Linked DNA regions of Oreochromis niloticus. The protein of the gene in region 1 interacts with the protein of each later gene in a biochemical or structural test. Links are inferred from orthologs where the notes say so. Each region holds a gene or a part of one and is shown on either strand. Other genes may lie near its edges.

Region 1 (7,755 bases):
TCTAAGGCACACAACCCTAAAAAAAACTATAAAGATGGAACTGAGCATAATTTATTTCCTCTTAATTGTGTTACCTGGTTTAGCATCACGTCGTAAACATCATTTCCTTCATTATAAACATGAGCCTGAAACAGAAATATAAAAATGAGCTATACAAATCAAAATAATCCCAACATCTCTGCATTCAGGAAATATAAATATTTTTGTATAAAATATTTACTTTTTTGTGTTTAAAAAGAACAGATTTGAGATGATGTTAAAAAATAATTGAAACAGAACCAATTACTACTTCTTATATTTTCATGTAACAGTCATATGTAAATCTACTGATAATTAGGTGAGATGAATTTAATTATCTTGTAATTGCAACAATACTTCTCAGATTTATTGGTTATCTGTTTAGTATGTGGAAAAATGCAATCATATATAAGTTATTCAGTTGAAAACAACCATTTAGAAAATTTTAGCTTCGCTGAAAGATTTATTTGTGTTTAACCAGACACAGAATAGTTTGTCACAAGAGGAAGTGTAACTGGGGGAAAGCTTTGCCTTCTAGCAGCCAGGTGTCAAACCACGAGCATGACTGACATGAATCGTGAGATTTATATATCGTGTGGATGCAGACACTGTACCTTTCCTAGTTTGGCTTTACATTCAGAGTCTACTGGTGCTTTTCCCTTCATGACCACTGTCTTCACAACTTCTGTTCAGAGCAGATCAGACACGAAAGAGTAGTGAGGGGAAGAAACATCTACAGTTCAGATGCAATTCCATGCTCACCTGATCCTTAAAAGCTTTAAAAGTTACTGTGCTTTGATAATGACCAATATTGTCATGGCTCCAAAATTTTGTAAGTATATATAGAAATTAGATCCATGTTACCTTCACTTTTTACTTCTTCTTTGGCTTTTTTGGGCATTTCTTCAGTTTTTGTCTGGCTCTTGCTTTGTCCTCTCCTCTTCTTAGCTGCAGGCTGCTCTTCTGTGTCCTCCTCTTCCTCTTTAACTTGAGCTGGTTTCTCATTATGAGCAGCAACGTCACCAGCTTCATTCTGACTTTCTTAATAAAACAGGAGAAAAGAGGAAAGACTGTGAGTACCTCCAGGAATTCAGATTTTTCAATTAAATTTAAACTGAAATAAACTATATAAATTTCATGAAATTATGTTTTAGATACAATTTCTACAAAAAAAATGAAAAATGAACAGAACTGCAGTTAAGAAAATATCAAGCAACACAATTTAAAAATGAGGAATTATGAAAACAGAACACAGGGAGCAGGGAGGATGACAGAAAATTCACAACAAAAAAACTAAAACAAAGTGATGCTGTAGGAGACAACAGCAGACATATGTGGTGTAATACATAATTCGCACACCTGTTTTTACAGTCTGACAGCGAATTTTCCGTTTGTACTTTGTGACAGGATTGATCTGAACCATCTTCTTCAGATCAACTTCATAGGCTGTCCCCGAGCCCAGAGAGAGAGTGACAGATGTTTTTCCCGAAGAGACGGCCGAGTCCAAGACGGCACAGGCTGATGGAGAGTATGGTTCCCACTGTCTTTTATCTCCCATCCACTGCCACACTGATCAGAAACACACACAGAAGAAAATCTAACTCTTACACACTGGCCTTTTAGAGATTAGAAACAAGTCTTTAAGTTATTAAAACTCTGTGTGTGTAATACCTGTTTTAAACTTCCTTAATTTTTAGTCCCCTGACAAATACCAATCATATTAAAATAAAAAAGCATTAATGCTGCTGTTGTTTAAAAAATGAAGCTTTCTGAAGTCTGGATAAACTGCAAAATAGTAAAGAGAAAAATAAAACCAATACATGCTTCTTTTTTTTCCCTGGAAGGTGCAGATAGCTGTCAAACATTTTAGGTTAATTTTAACAGAAGCAATATAAAGAGTGGCTGCAAAAAAATCAGCCTTACTTTTAAAGGGAGCTCATTACACTCGAATTCTCCCCTTAGTTCAACAAATACATCAGAACAAACTGTTTTTTCTCGCCTTCATTTCAGTGCAAACTCCCTTTATTCCAAGTTTGTTCTGATTGGCTGCTCTAGGCAAACAGAAGGTTTGAAAAGTAGCATGATCATGTTTGGGTTAACCCTCTCACTGACATCATCTGGAACAAAAATTTGAGGGAAAATGTCAAAAGCTAAATGTTTACAGTAATTTAAAGCATAATCATTTCTACACACATTGGCATCATTATTTTAAAATTAAAGTGGTCATATTTAACATAAACATTCCAGCATGTTAGCAGTATATATTAGACAGAAAGCAGGTCACATCAGAACAGGCCCCTTCGCTTTTGGTATGCAATAAATGTAGCTCACAACAAATAAATACCTTTTTTTTGGTCGTTTTAACCGCTCACTTAGGAACTTATTTTAGGAACCCTAACCCTTACCTGAAAAGCAAACCGAGCAACAAAAAATGTTTTGTTTGTTTTTTAAGTTGACAATTTTTTATTATTATTTCACACAGACAGTACCGGTGTCTGAATTATGAGTGAAGCTTCATAATATTGATCTTCATGCTGTCTCCTGTCCGAACATGTCCACAGTTCAATGGCGTAGTTACCCTGCAGCAGCTACAATATTATGCTAATAAAACACACAGACCTGTTTTTGACTGGGCTTCTCCATTTTCTGGTGCACTCTCACATTTATTTCGCGAACTTCTCGCTCGCCTCATGGTGGGTTATTAAAAATAATTATCTGGCTGCTGTTAAAGGGGAACCTCAGCGATAACACTAAAACACGGCGGGAAACTTTTCCCCACCGTACTACTGTTTCCTGACCGGCAACCGTACTGCAAACGATTGTTTCATGTGAAGATGAATCACTCCGCCGTGAAAACTGAAACCATTGTTGTTTCCGGCGCGAAGGCGGTTAATATGACAACGATTTATATTAAACCCAGTTCAATGTTTAAAATACATTTAGGTTTATATCTGTTTTAATTTAGTCCCAACTTTGTCTATGCTGTGGCCGAGAGGTAAACTTGATGTCGTAGATGCTGGACAGTAGGCGGAGTAACACTCTTCGTTGTTCTCCTGAGGTGGGAACAGAGATTACGGTCGAAAGTGTTCCGCCTTAGGTAGTGGTCGGAATTATTTTGTTGAAGGATTAGTGGGATTCTAACGTGACACTTAAGGAGGGCTGGATGAAAGTTGAATTTTAAGCCATTTAAACGTTTGTAGAAGCAGATGTTATGGTACTGCGTAGATTTAGCGCCTGTGTTCTCTGCCAGAGAACACTTTTGGGGATGCTGGTGTGCCGGGTGAGTACGGATTGTTATTGCCACTGAATGCAGCTTTTTAATCACAGAGGTCAGACACATAAGCTATAGAGAACAAAATAGTTTCAGTCTGTACATTTACATTTTATCCTTTTGGCATAATATACACCATTTAGTCGTGAATCTACTCCACTTGTCCCCCAGATGTCAGGGCTGCCAGCTCTCACTGGTGTAAAACATGATTTCTACGTTCATTCAAACACTGCCCAAACACATCTCTGAATACTTTGAACTGAGGGCAACACTGAGGGGAATTTTCTGAGTTTATTATCAGCTCAGCATAAAAAAATCTCTTGGCTCTGTCTTTCTGACATTATAACTGGACCCAGTAAGGCTGCTGTCTGGTTCCCAGTTACCTTGGACTCAAACATTTCATTAAATAAACTAAAAACGCACTTACTCGCCACTTCATTATTTACACCTTGCTAGCACTGGATTGGACCTCCTTTTGCCTTCAGAATACTGTGATCATAAGTAGGTGGACATGGTCAGTAACAATATACGAGTATATTGTTACACAAACAACCACATCACGTAACTTTTCATCCAAATTTTGATGCTTGGTTTGAATTTCCATAGGTCTTCTTGTCCATGTCTGCATGCCTAAATGCATTAAGTCGCTGCTATGTGATTAGCTGATGAAATACCTACGTTAACAAGCACTCAAACAGTACATGTGCCTAATGTAGTGGCCACTGATTCTTTTGAAAAAATGAAACACAGATTTTGTTTGGTTTCTTTGTTTGTTTGTTTTTTCTCAAATCTGTCTGTAATTGGATTTCCTGTTTTTTATTTTCCTCATATAATCATATTTCAGTTTAATTCAAAGGTCAGTAAAACAGCATCATTTAAACCTGTTATTTCAGGCAAAGAGTGCAGCTACACACCCGCAGCCACAGGCAGATTTCCTAAAGGGTGAACCACACAGAAAACACCCAGGTGTGACCAACTTGAAAACTCTACGGCTACCTGAGGAACTCCACGTGGCTGCACAGTCGATTATTCACAGTAAGCTTAGTGTTGGTGAATCAGTTAATATAACAGATGTTTCTGACCAGCTTCATTGGTTGAAACCCTTTGCCTCTCATCCATCTCTGCATCTGTAGGAGCTCAGGTGAATCAGCTTCCTGAGCACATTCGCAAGCTCACAAACTTCCTGTGGAGCAGGAAACGAGCGGTCGAGGATTTAACTCTGAGGCAGAAAGCTGTGAGCCTGGAGAAAGAACTGTGGGAGAAAGCCATGCAAAAGGGAGGAGGTGGGTGATAAATGTTTTTTTTTTTTAAGTAATAATACACATGCAACAAGATAATATCATGCAGCAGCTAGAAAAAATAAATATACATTTATTCTGCAGATATTGACGAGCAAGCAATGGAAGACCGCATCAGGAGGAAAGTTCTCTCAGAGCTCCGAAGAACGACATATCACTGGGCACCCATGAAGTAACATGTCATTTAACTACAGTGTTATCCATTATCAGTTTTTCATGTTTCAGTCTGTTCTGAATGCCTCTTTGTTATATTTACTCATTCCTAAAGGAGAAAAAGCCTCTTTTACCCATAATAGGAGAAGCTAACACTGCGATTTATGACAAATGCTGAACATTTTATACTTTTAACAGACTTAAGATGCTTTCTTTAGATAAACCCAGTGAATGGATGCGCTCCACCATGATCACTCCTGAAGTTGTAGTTTTGGTCTTTAAGTTTGACGTGCAGTAGATTTACAAGCATCTCACTGTGTTTCAGGTATGATGAAGAGCTCGGCGTGGTCTACATGGCAGCTCGACTTGCTGGCGGTTACGCTGCAGTGAGGAGAGCTCTGAATGAGGTAGCAAAGTGCTGTGGAGGCGATCGGCTTACGTGGTGATACAGGGAGCTTCCTTTTTAAGAGTTGCATGAATCCAAGCACAAGTTGTTTTTTGTGGTTAAACTCACTTATACCTGCAGTTCTTTCTTTTTTTCCCCTCATCATTTAGATAAAGAAGAGGGATCCCTCCTTTGCTCCTCACACTCTCCTGGATTTTGGTTCTGGGTTAGGAACAGTTGTCTGGTTAGTGTGCAACACTAGTTAAACATGTAAATGCTATAGTCTGAATAGCTAAACTAAGTTTATAATCTGGCCGTTTACTCAGGGCATCTCACGCATGCTGGGGTGACTCTTTGAAGGAGATGGTGTGTGTGGACAGCTCAGGACCAATGAACATTTTGGCAGAACGACTTCTGAAAGGTAGACACACATGTAGAGAATTTATTTTTGTTTCCTTATGTGAAATACAGATGTTAATAGGAACTGACTGGATTGTATCATTATTATTATTATTATTATTATTTGAATTGAGCAGGTGATGACGAAAGAGCTGAACCCTGCATCAAACAAGTGTATTTCAGACAGTTTCTCCCTGTGTCTCCTAAGGTAAAACTCCCTCAGCTTTTATTTAAGTCACAATGTGTTCACTGTCAAGAGTTTAAAAAATTCAGTGTGTTATTAAAAATGTATATGCAATATTCTAGACTTCAATTCTGGGTTATACATGGATTTTTTAGTCATTGTTCTAGAAAAGAACACAAACAGAGAAAATCAAAAAATAAAGAAAATCCCAATATTTTTGATTTGCTGTCATTAATGTTCCAGATAATCTCAACAACTGGAAATCCTGACTGTCCTTTTTCTCCTTTCAGGTGCAGTTTGATTTAGTCACTGCAGCTTTTACCCTCTCAGAGCTGCCGAATGTGAAGGACCGAGAGGAGGCAGCATTCACTCTTTGGAGAAAGACAAGCTCATATCTGGTGAGATCAAATAAAGATGCAACTTAAAAAATGATTGGTGAGCCTCTGGCGTTTAAAAGGAAACAGAAAAAAAACTATTACTCGTTGCATTTTATGTTCTAGGTGCTGGTGGAAAATGGGACCAAAGAGGGCCATCAGATACTCATGGAAGCCAGAGATACTTTATTGAAGGTATTTAAACACACTAGATAAGACAGCAGTTCACACCAGTTGTTATTGATCAGACTAAAGTGTTGGTTTTCTGACTCCAGAAACAAGAGAAGACCATTTATGACTCCAGGCCAGCATCAGTGTTTGCTCCAGTAAGTTTAACACCCAGTAGATTTAATTAAAGTCATACTTAGAGCCATCAGTGTATCAGTTTTATTGCACTTCTCTTTATTTATTTATTCATTTATTTCAGTGTTCTCATGAACTGGTGTGTCCCAAATTGGCCCATGAACTCGTCACACCCTGCAACTTCCAGCAGCAGTACCAACCTCTGTCTCTACCCAGGGTAAGACTTAACTGTCTATGTCTGTTTACAGCTTTTCACTTTAAATGCGATCTATTCTGTTAATTCCCAGGTCTCTTTCTTTTTATTCTTGGACTCCACCGGAGCAGCATTGCATGAATTTTAAATTATCGTTATTTATGTTTCTAGTGGCTCAGCTCACCACCTGTCTAAAACAGACTGTTTTGACTTTTTAGCCACCCTCCCTTTAAGTCAGCTAAGACAACACTGGTGAATTAGTGCTTGAGTAGTACCGGCTAATATAGTCAGACTCACCTCAACGCACAGCTGGTGCTCTGCAACAGGTCTCCTGGAGAGGGGCTGGACTCTCAGTCTAGAGTTGCCCTCAGAGAGAGATGGCAAGCAGTGGTGGGTATACAGTTATGGTCACAAGCTCTGAGTAGTGACAAAAAGATCACAGATAGAAGCAGTAGAAATGAACTACCTCCACAGGGTGGCTATCTGTTGTCATTTGGGAGTCCTTTCTGAGGGCTTCAGAGTAGATCCGCAACTCGAAAGGAGCCAGCTGAGGTTTTTTGAGGATCTGACGAGGATATGACCTGGACACCTCCTTGGTGAGGCATTTTGAGCATATTCTACTTAGAGAATCTCTGGGACAGACCCACAAGATTATGCCTCAGCTGCTTTGGGAACACCTCGGATGAGCTGGAAGGGTGACGGGAGGAGAGGAAGTTCTGAGGCTTTTCTTCTTAGAATGCTGGTCCTGCAAACCAAGCAACAGACCAAATAATCAATCAATCAATCAATCTTTATTTATAAAGCACTTTTCATACAAAACAAACTGTAGCACAAAGTGCTTTACATGGTTAAAAGCAGCCCACCCCACCCTCCCACTCATTCCCCGCACTGTCATTAACAGAAGCGGTCATGATACACACATTCCCCCCCCCCCCCCCCCCCCCCCCCCCCCACACACACACACACACACACACACCTAAAGAGTAAAATTGGGCTGGGTATGCATTAGCCAAGTGAGGAAACACTATCACAGGGAGCTGTCTGCACCGGGAGCCGGTCACAGACTGCAGCCTCCAGGCTGGGCACACAGCAGGAGGGAGGCAAAGAAGCCCCCCAGCCAGGCTCAGAGGACCCACAGGGCCCCAGCAGCCACGGTCGATCACAGCCCCGGTGCAGA
Region 2 (7,961 bases), on another chromosome or scaffold:
GTACAGAAAGAAAAAAAATTTGTAATTTTTTTTAAAATCCATATCGCCCAGATCTACCTTCCAATATAGCTGATACTAAGCTCTTCCTGATTTTCCTGAACATAAAAAACAGTTTTCATTTCTCATGCTTTGGAGGCTGTGACCTTGTTGCTTTTCCAGCATTTTTCCCCCTTTAGATCACTTTTAGAACCTGTTAAACAGTACATACCTAAAAACTACATTTAAAAAACAAAAACAAAACAGTTTATTGTGAAATGTGATGTGGGAAATAAAATTTAGCACTATCAGTGGTCACTAATGCACAAGAACTTTTCTGTTTTTGTGCCAAGAATTTGTTTAAGCTGGAAATTGGATTATATAAAGTGATATATGGGGAGTTTGTGGTGGTTAACACTCACTAGACTGCAGCAAACACGTTGTCCCCCATCTGTGTTATAGTACAGCCCTTCTTGGCTTCATTTTCCCCAACGAACGAAGGGAGGGAGTCTGGAGTATCTCTGGCGGAACAATGAAATTCAGTAAAACAAAACAACAACAAGAAAATCAGAACCACTTATGCTCATGTACATATTGTTATCACTATTTTCATATTATTTCACACAACGCCCTCTGTCTTCTTGGTAGAGCAAATGTTGGAAGCAGCCTCTGGTGGAAGCTACAAGATTCTAATAAAAGCCAATAGTCACACACTTCAGTTGTTGTGTTCTATACCTGTAGTAACCAATGTGATGCTGGCTGTCCTCACTCCCTGTGAGTATGGTCTGAAACTCTGGTGGGTCATAAAAATATCGCCAGTGAAGGTGGAACTTCGGCTGGGAATTCTTGGAGTTTTTGTGAGCTCCTGCCAAAATATCAAATGGTCCAACCAGTTGCAATCCCAGCGAGTCTTTCAGAGCACCTATAGAGAGTGACAATATCTTGATACAGAAACGAGCTGACACAGAAGCATTACTTAAGTGCAAATTATTGATAAAATATTTTATTTACATATCATATTTACATATCTTACACACCACATAAGTATCTGAGATGGAGATTTTTCACTTAATGATAAAATGAATCATCTGCACTGCTCAAAAAACCCCCAAAAACAATAAAAATAAAAATCTTGATGAATGAAATAAACTTAAATCTGAGAACAAAATAACACTCAGTGGAAACAAATCATCCACTGTTTTAGGGCTGGATTTAAAAATAACATAAAAAAAATCAAAGACAAAATTGTTCAGGTGTTCAGTATATTTGACATTTTATAGATGAAATGATCATTGACTGTCAGCTGCTGTACTCTACTGCAGTGTGTACACCACCACTCACCGCAGCACCTTCAAGAACATCTACAGAAATAGAAACAGAACTGGAAGATATAGACTCATTACAAATTAAACTTGCATGAAGTCAGGTTTTGAGCCCCACACCAAATGTGGGTTTACAGTTAATACCCAAGTGTTAACCAAATGCTGCTAATTTTGTGTTTGTGAACTAAATCTTTTAGCTAGCTGTTACACTGGCCTTTAAAGCACCGTACAGTACTTTGGTGTCATTTACAGATGTGATGTTTCTGTCTTCTACTGTGCCATCTTTTTCACACCTGTATTACAGCCCCTAAGTTCATTACAACGGTTGAGCATCTAATAGCTAAAAAACAGTTTCTGAATTTCATGTTTAACTATATTTAATAGGAGATCTGTTCATTTTGAAGCCCTTAACCACCGACTGTCACGTGGAATTGTTTTTGCTTTGAATGATCTCGTCTTTAATGTTCTATTAGACTGAAATACTAAGCAGCATTAAATTCAGCGGCTCCACCCTATGAAGTCTAGTACTGAGATCATACCACGGGGGTTGTCAGTGCAAAGATCGCTGCAGAATTCCCAGAAGTGGTACAGATCTTCTGGCATTTGAAAACTGTACAACTGCATCAGCTCATCACGTTGCTCCGATTTCACTCCCGATGGCGGCACATCATTGGATTCTTCACTTCGGGCTTTCTTCACCTCTCCATTATTTGTGCCTTTTCCCTAAAGACATGAAAAGCAGGGGAACTCCTCAGCAATACTGCATAGTAAGTTGCCTATTTATGTATTATATCAAGCTCCAAATATGTCATTTTGATACAGCAGGTTGACAGTAAAACATATTGTGGATACATTGAACCAACCACTATATTATTATAAAAAGAAGCGCCCCCCCCCAAATATCCATAAAGGTTAATCAAAACACTTCTATAATAATCACTGAGCATCATGCTCTCCACAGAAGTAGGTCAATATTTACTGCGTGAGAATTAATGCATCTACCTCGCATCAGCAACTAGTGTACAATACGTACAGCTGTGCCCACTGCCTTGGACTCTGTATCCTGCAGAGGCGTGTACAGTAAGAGTAGGGATCGTAATCTTTTCCAATAGTTGCTCGCAACCTTGGCAAAACGATTTTATGGGGCCATTTATTGGTGTTTATTGGATAAAGGCACCAATCAATGAATCAATCAATGATGACACCCACAGTGCGCTTGCTGACGCCACACTACACAAACAGTGAATGGGAACGACGTACGGATATTTCCTAGCTAGCATAAAGGTCCAGTTATGGTAGTGCTTTCCATTTAATCAAAGCCAAAGACCCCATTCATGTATGTGCTGTTAGCATCGCTGAACAAGCTGCTTTGTGGGACCAGCCTGCAGAGCTGCTGCCATGTTGTCGTGTTATCCACTGCTGCTCGGTCAGGCTGCTAAACACTTCTTCACACCGACTTTAACGGCAGCTGCTCTGCTGCACACAGAGCACGGCGTCTCGTTTGGTAAGGCTGCTGTTTTAAACGCATATTCCTGCACCAAACACAGCAGGTCAAAACAAAGCGTATTTACCTGAACGGCTTTGGGTTTTCTTTTTGCGCGCCCTGTCATTTTATTCCTCTTTTTCTCCGTTGAAGTCTTCTTCTGCCAGTCAGCGTCGAGCCGTCGGCAGCAACAGCGCCCTGTTTAAGAGCACCAGTGCCACCCACAGGCCTGGAATGCAAACGTCCCTTCCCCTAAATAATCCAGGTAACAACAACAACAACAACGCTAATAATAATAATAACGATGATGATAATAATAATAATAATAACAATAATAATAATAATAATAATAAATTGGCTTACTATACACGCATCTGCCCCTTTTGCCTCTACAGTTCAGCTAAATAACTACTTACTATTACCAAGGTTATGCAAATCATATAAAAGGTTTGTAACAATACTTTGAACATTTTAGGCTGGATAATTATTTAAAACGCATGCTGTATATGTGTGGTGAACAATATCTTTATTGCTCAGTTTCAGATGGTGGAAATAACATTAGTTGTTATCAGTTCTGCTAAATTTCAAGACCTTGTAAGTCAGAGCCAATAAAGGGGAACAATTAATAGAATTAGCACAGGGTCAAAGTGCTCCAAAGAGCCATTATGGAAACAAAGTCAAATCAGATCAAAAAAAATATGTAGATGTCAGTAATCTAATAAAATAAATAGTTGAATACAAGTTCACAAAATTGATTGTGCTATAGATCACTGTACTAATTTGATGGTATGTGGAAAGGAAGCAGTACAGCAATACAGGTCTTCTCAAACTGAGTGTAGCACAGATAAAAATACAAATACAGATATGGTGTGCAAATAATCAAAGTAATTTCTCAGACTTTCACAGCTTCACTGCTAAATAAACAGATTAATGTAGGATCAATGCAAAGGCAGAGCAGTTCATCCCCTAACTAAACACTCCATACAGAGAGAATATAAATGTGAATGTAGCTTTTAGTGTAAAGTACTTTGAGAAGCTATTTAGTACCTTTTTACATACAGTAAATGCATTTAATTTACTATTATATATGTGGCACAATAAGTTATTTGCAGTACAAGTGCAGGAATAATCATAACCGTGAGGGCCACTGCATAACATATTAACGAGTTTGCTCATCAAAGTTCTGATGTGTGAGCAATAGGTCAGTCTTCAGTTAGAAGAATGAACAAGAAGCATACGGGCAAGCCTCCTTTTAGCCTCTGAAGCCACGTGTCTTCATCTTCTCTCCAGTCCGCTGTTCATTGGTCTGTCTGTGTCTCTCTCTTAAAGTCTTCATGCAGTGATGAGTCTGTACTAATGTTTTCATTGTTTTCTTTTTCTTGTTCATCAGCAAGTTGCAGCCAGTTTTCTCTGTTCTTCTTACACCCATTTAGCAAAGGAGAGCAGGAGTCAAACAGCCTCGATACAGTCTGAGGACGGCAAAGACAGAGACGGGATTGTTGATAGAATAGTGGAAATTACAACTGATCTTAAGGGAACAAGATGGCAACAAGGTGAATTCTGTGATGAAATATATAAGGATACATGCATGCAAGTAGAATATACAGTTATCTACACATTGCTTACACAATACCAGTAGTAATAACACACCTTGTAGAGTGGATAGCAGACCTCATCAATGTATTCAACTTGCATATACGGCAGTCGAGTGCTGTTTTCTCTGTTCATTATGTCCTTGTGAAAAGTAAGCATAAAGTGGCTGTTAGAATAGCACTTAAAGCACTTACAGAAGATCAGATAGAATTGCAAAAGTATGCAGTACTTGAATATGAACATTTATATATGTAGATTAATTCAACCCAAAACACTGCAAGCTACATTAAATTTACTTAACTCTGAATGGGGAAAAATGCATCAGAAATACACAACAGGCTTTATAAAGCTTTATGTATTCAAAGATATTGTTATTTTTGTTATAGTGTAGACAGAGTAACAGTAACATTTTATGAAAACCCATTTTTGAATCTGTGTAAATAAAATAAGAAAATCTTTTAAACCACAATGACAAAAATATGAAGATATTCCAAGACATACCAGTGTTTGTGGTTATGTATTTTTTCAAAGAACAGTCTTTGGCACCGTGATACTGTTATACGACAGGGTAGATGCAATTCTAGCGCAACAAGAAATAGGACAACAGGATGCCTGAAGGGCTTTTAAACTTAAAAAAATGTATCATAAGACTAAAACAAGATATTCACAAATGATTGGATTCTTGTTAGAATCCAATCATGAAAAAATATTGATTTAAATTCCTTTTTATGTGTGCACACTTTTTTATTTCCACTCAACATTTTCAGAATCCTTGGTACACTACAAATCCTGCAAGCTCCACTTACAATGGGTTTGATTTTGAACTCTTCCCTCTCTTTGTCCCCCTGTGCAAAGAACTCCATGGCAACCAGTCTGGCAATCTGTTAGGAGGAAGAGTGAGGTTAAGGTTGCAGTGAAAAAGGATTGAGAGATGAAGCATGAAGTGTTTTATTTTTCATTCAGAGCTACTTTGTGAGACCTACTCTTTTTTGTTCAGGCCAAGGCTTTGTGATAGCAGAGAGGTCACTGGCTGTCATCAGCATTGACCTGTGGGGTAAAGTAATAGCTTACAACACAGCACATTCTCTTGGTTTACCGAGCACAACAATATAATATGCCTCTGATTCTAATTTATGTGATTCTCACCTGAGCAAGTCTCTTTGTTTCTCACTTTTCCAGCTCACTCCGCTTTTGTTAGCGAGAGAAAAGAACTCCTTTCTTCTTCTGAAAAAAAATAAAATAAAAACAGCCAGAAGAAACATGGGTTAAAATAAGACTGGCTAAATGTGTAACCTACATCTTCTTTGACATTTTTAATGTTTCAGACGTACTCCATGTAGACGGTCAGGTCTGTGGCAAGGATTGCCCTTTTGATTATGTGTAATAGAGCTTTGTGCTCTTCAGCAGACAGACCGCTAAGAATTTGACTCCCCTGGAAGATGATGAGAGACAGAAAGAAAGTAAAGTAAACTGAAGACTACAAGTTCACACACAGAGATCAAAATAATCTAATTATTTCACAAGTGGAATCATTGCAAAATAATAGATATGTGTGCATGCAAATATAACTTATAAGTTGAAAAGAAAAGATTTCTTGCATCTTACAGTGTTGTTTAGGATGAAGACACACAGGTTGTAGTGGTGGTTCTCAAGAGAGGAGTGTCCATACAACTGAGCTAAAGGCTGATGAGTCCTGAGAGAAAAAAGAAAGAAAGAATAAGGACTTGAATATATGTAGGCAGAGACTAATAAGTCTTACAGATAGTACAAATCAAAATAAATACACATAATTATGGTCTAGATAATTTAGAGTAAAAATAAGTAATGGAGTAAATGTGAGAGATTAAGAACTAACGTTTACCTTTCTATGAAGGAATTATTAACTCCTCTGTGATCGACATCATGATTCAGAGTGGCTATCATCAATGCTAAGATCTCCAGGCGAGAAAAAATGGTCTGAAATATGAACAGAAAGAAACAGGTTGCAATAATGAAGAAAATTATTTTTCTGCATTTTATAATTGAATGCTTTATAGGAAAAAAATAATAATTGAGAAAATAATCATATGCACATGTATATATTGCACATTTCATGTGCTACACAAAATAAAAGAAAGTTTGTATCAATAGGTGGATCATGTGCTGTCAAAAGTCGATAATAAAAGTTTCTAACAGATAGGATGATAAAGGACCAATCCCAATTGGAGCTGAAGTCTATGGATCCCTACACATGAGTATATGTAAGGGTAAAAAACAGGAAGCAGGAATTTATGGATAGGTGATGATGCAAAATCTCTAAATCATTTTTAATTTTTTTTTTGTACTTTACTTGTATTTAAATAATCTCTAATCTAAAAGAATAAAGTGATAAGACGGTAAAATGTTAGATGGTAGTGTCATTTTCTATCTGAACAAATACTGAATAAAAAATGTGTAACTGTAATTCTACTATTCAATGTTTGATGTAAAAGAAATGAAGTACGACAAATGATACTTCCATTTTAGTGTTACTAATACCAGTCAGTGTCTTCATTGAATATCCCACATAATTAAGCTCCAAACTATAACAGATACAAATATGCATAACAGATACAGCCTGGTCCTGGTACAGAGACCCCCAGGGTGGATCTCCAAAAAGCATCCTGGATCTCCAAAAAGCTTAAAACACTGGTGAGTGAATGGCAGAAGTCACTTGAGTTGAGGTGTAGGTATGTGTCTGATTGTTACAGACAGCAGTTAAGAGGTTTTGGCAAGATCTAAAATTAATCCTCTTCCAAACAGTTAAGAGCGCTCAGTACGGAAGAACAACCCTGGCAATCCTCAACTGACTCCTCCCAAAACTTTTGAGCTACAGTACAGAGGAAACTCCGGAGGCGTTATGCAAATGTCACAGTGTGACTGTCACATGGACATATAGAATGGATTGTCAACAAAATGCATGAAATGTTATAATAATAGCAACTACAAACCCACTCTGCTTTTACCACAAACTAACACTAACCTGGAGTTGGTCTGTTGCCATGAGCATTGCAAACATGCTTTGAGCAGTGCTCACTGCATGGTGCCAGTTGTGGTAGGGCACGTTGTTCCTGTAGCCACGTTTCACAGTCAAAACCCACTGGCAAAGACTCTGGAAGGATGAGATACGTAAAGTTGATAAATAATAGAAATTGAGAATATTTAAGGTATTATCTGATTCTATTATGCTTTTCTAGTTTGTCAGTAGTGAAATTCCTGTAACTCAAAGAAACATACTAAACTACATATTGTCAAATGTAAGAGCTAATAAGATAACACTAAAATATCCATTATGACCTCATATTCTCCTCTCTCACAGGTCCTTTTTCCACCAACGTGATTCCTGTTTTGGTGCCTTAGATAAGGTGGAGTTAATGAAATGAAAAAAAGACCGATGCCAGTGAAACAAGCTTGAACCACCACAGAACCCCAGGGTTTCACAATCCTTAACATCAGTAGCTACACAACAGGATTTTACCAAGAAATTCACAGATAATTTGCAGATGCAGTTTGCAGATTTTGACAGAGAAGACTTTCTTCTTACCAAAATCTCTTCACCCCAACTTTTA

The links. The genes of interacting proteins can lie anywhere in the genome.
Region 2: the proteins of parp2 (region 1) and hpf1 form a complex in vitro, tested with the Homo sapiens proteins (2 studies listed by BioGRID). The link is inferred for Oreochromis niloticus from reciprocal best matches to the Homo sapiens genes PARP2 and HPF1.

The regions. Positions count from the first base shown.
Region 1 is NC_031982.2:26,108,051-26,115,805, forward strand, and holds the start of parp2 (poly [ADP-ribose] polymerase 2), read right to left. Parts: upstream 3,010-7,755; 5' UTR 2,711-3,009; coding exon 2,638-2,710; exon of another isoform or gene 2,637-2,637; intron 2,560-2,636; exon of another isoform or gene 2,507-2,559; intron 2,407-2,506; exon of another isoform or gene 2,363-2,406; intron 1,588-2,362; coding exon 1,378-1,587; intron 1,060-1,377; coding exon 883-1,059; intron 704-882; coding exon 633-703; intron 126-632; coding exon 75-125; intron 1-74. Other genes in the region: mettl17 (methyltransferase-like protein 17, mitochondrial), read left to right, coding at 3,230-3,298, 4,183-4,324, 4,423-4,572, 4,672-4,759, 5,066-5,147, 5,296-5,369, 5,452-5,546, 5,662-5,732 and 4 more. UniProt on the Homo sapiens protein: Poly-ADP-ribosyltransferase that mediates poly-ADP-ribosylation of proteins and plays a key role in DNA repair.
Region 2 is NC_031971.2:22,761,077-22,769,037, forward strand, and holds the start of hpf1 (histone PARylation factor 1), read right to left. Parts: upstream 3,011-7,961; 5' UTR 2,909-3,010; coding exon 2,870-2,908; intron 2,022-2,869; coding exon 1,838-2,021; intron 899-1,837; coding exon 712-898; intron 498-711; coding exon 399-497; intron 1-398. Other genes in the region: pde5aa (cGMP-specific 3',5'-cyclic phosphodiesterase), read right to left, coding at 4,080-4,250, 4,432-4,515, 5,181-5,255, 5,358-5,421, 5,521-5,598, 5,706-5,806, 5,980-6,067, 6,236-6,330 and 1 more. UniProt on the Homo sapiens protein: Cofactor for serine ADP-ribosylation that confers serine specificity on PARP1 and PARP2 and plays a key role in DNA damage response.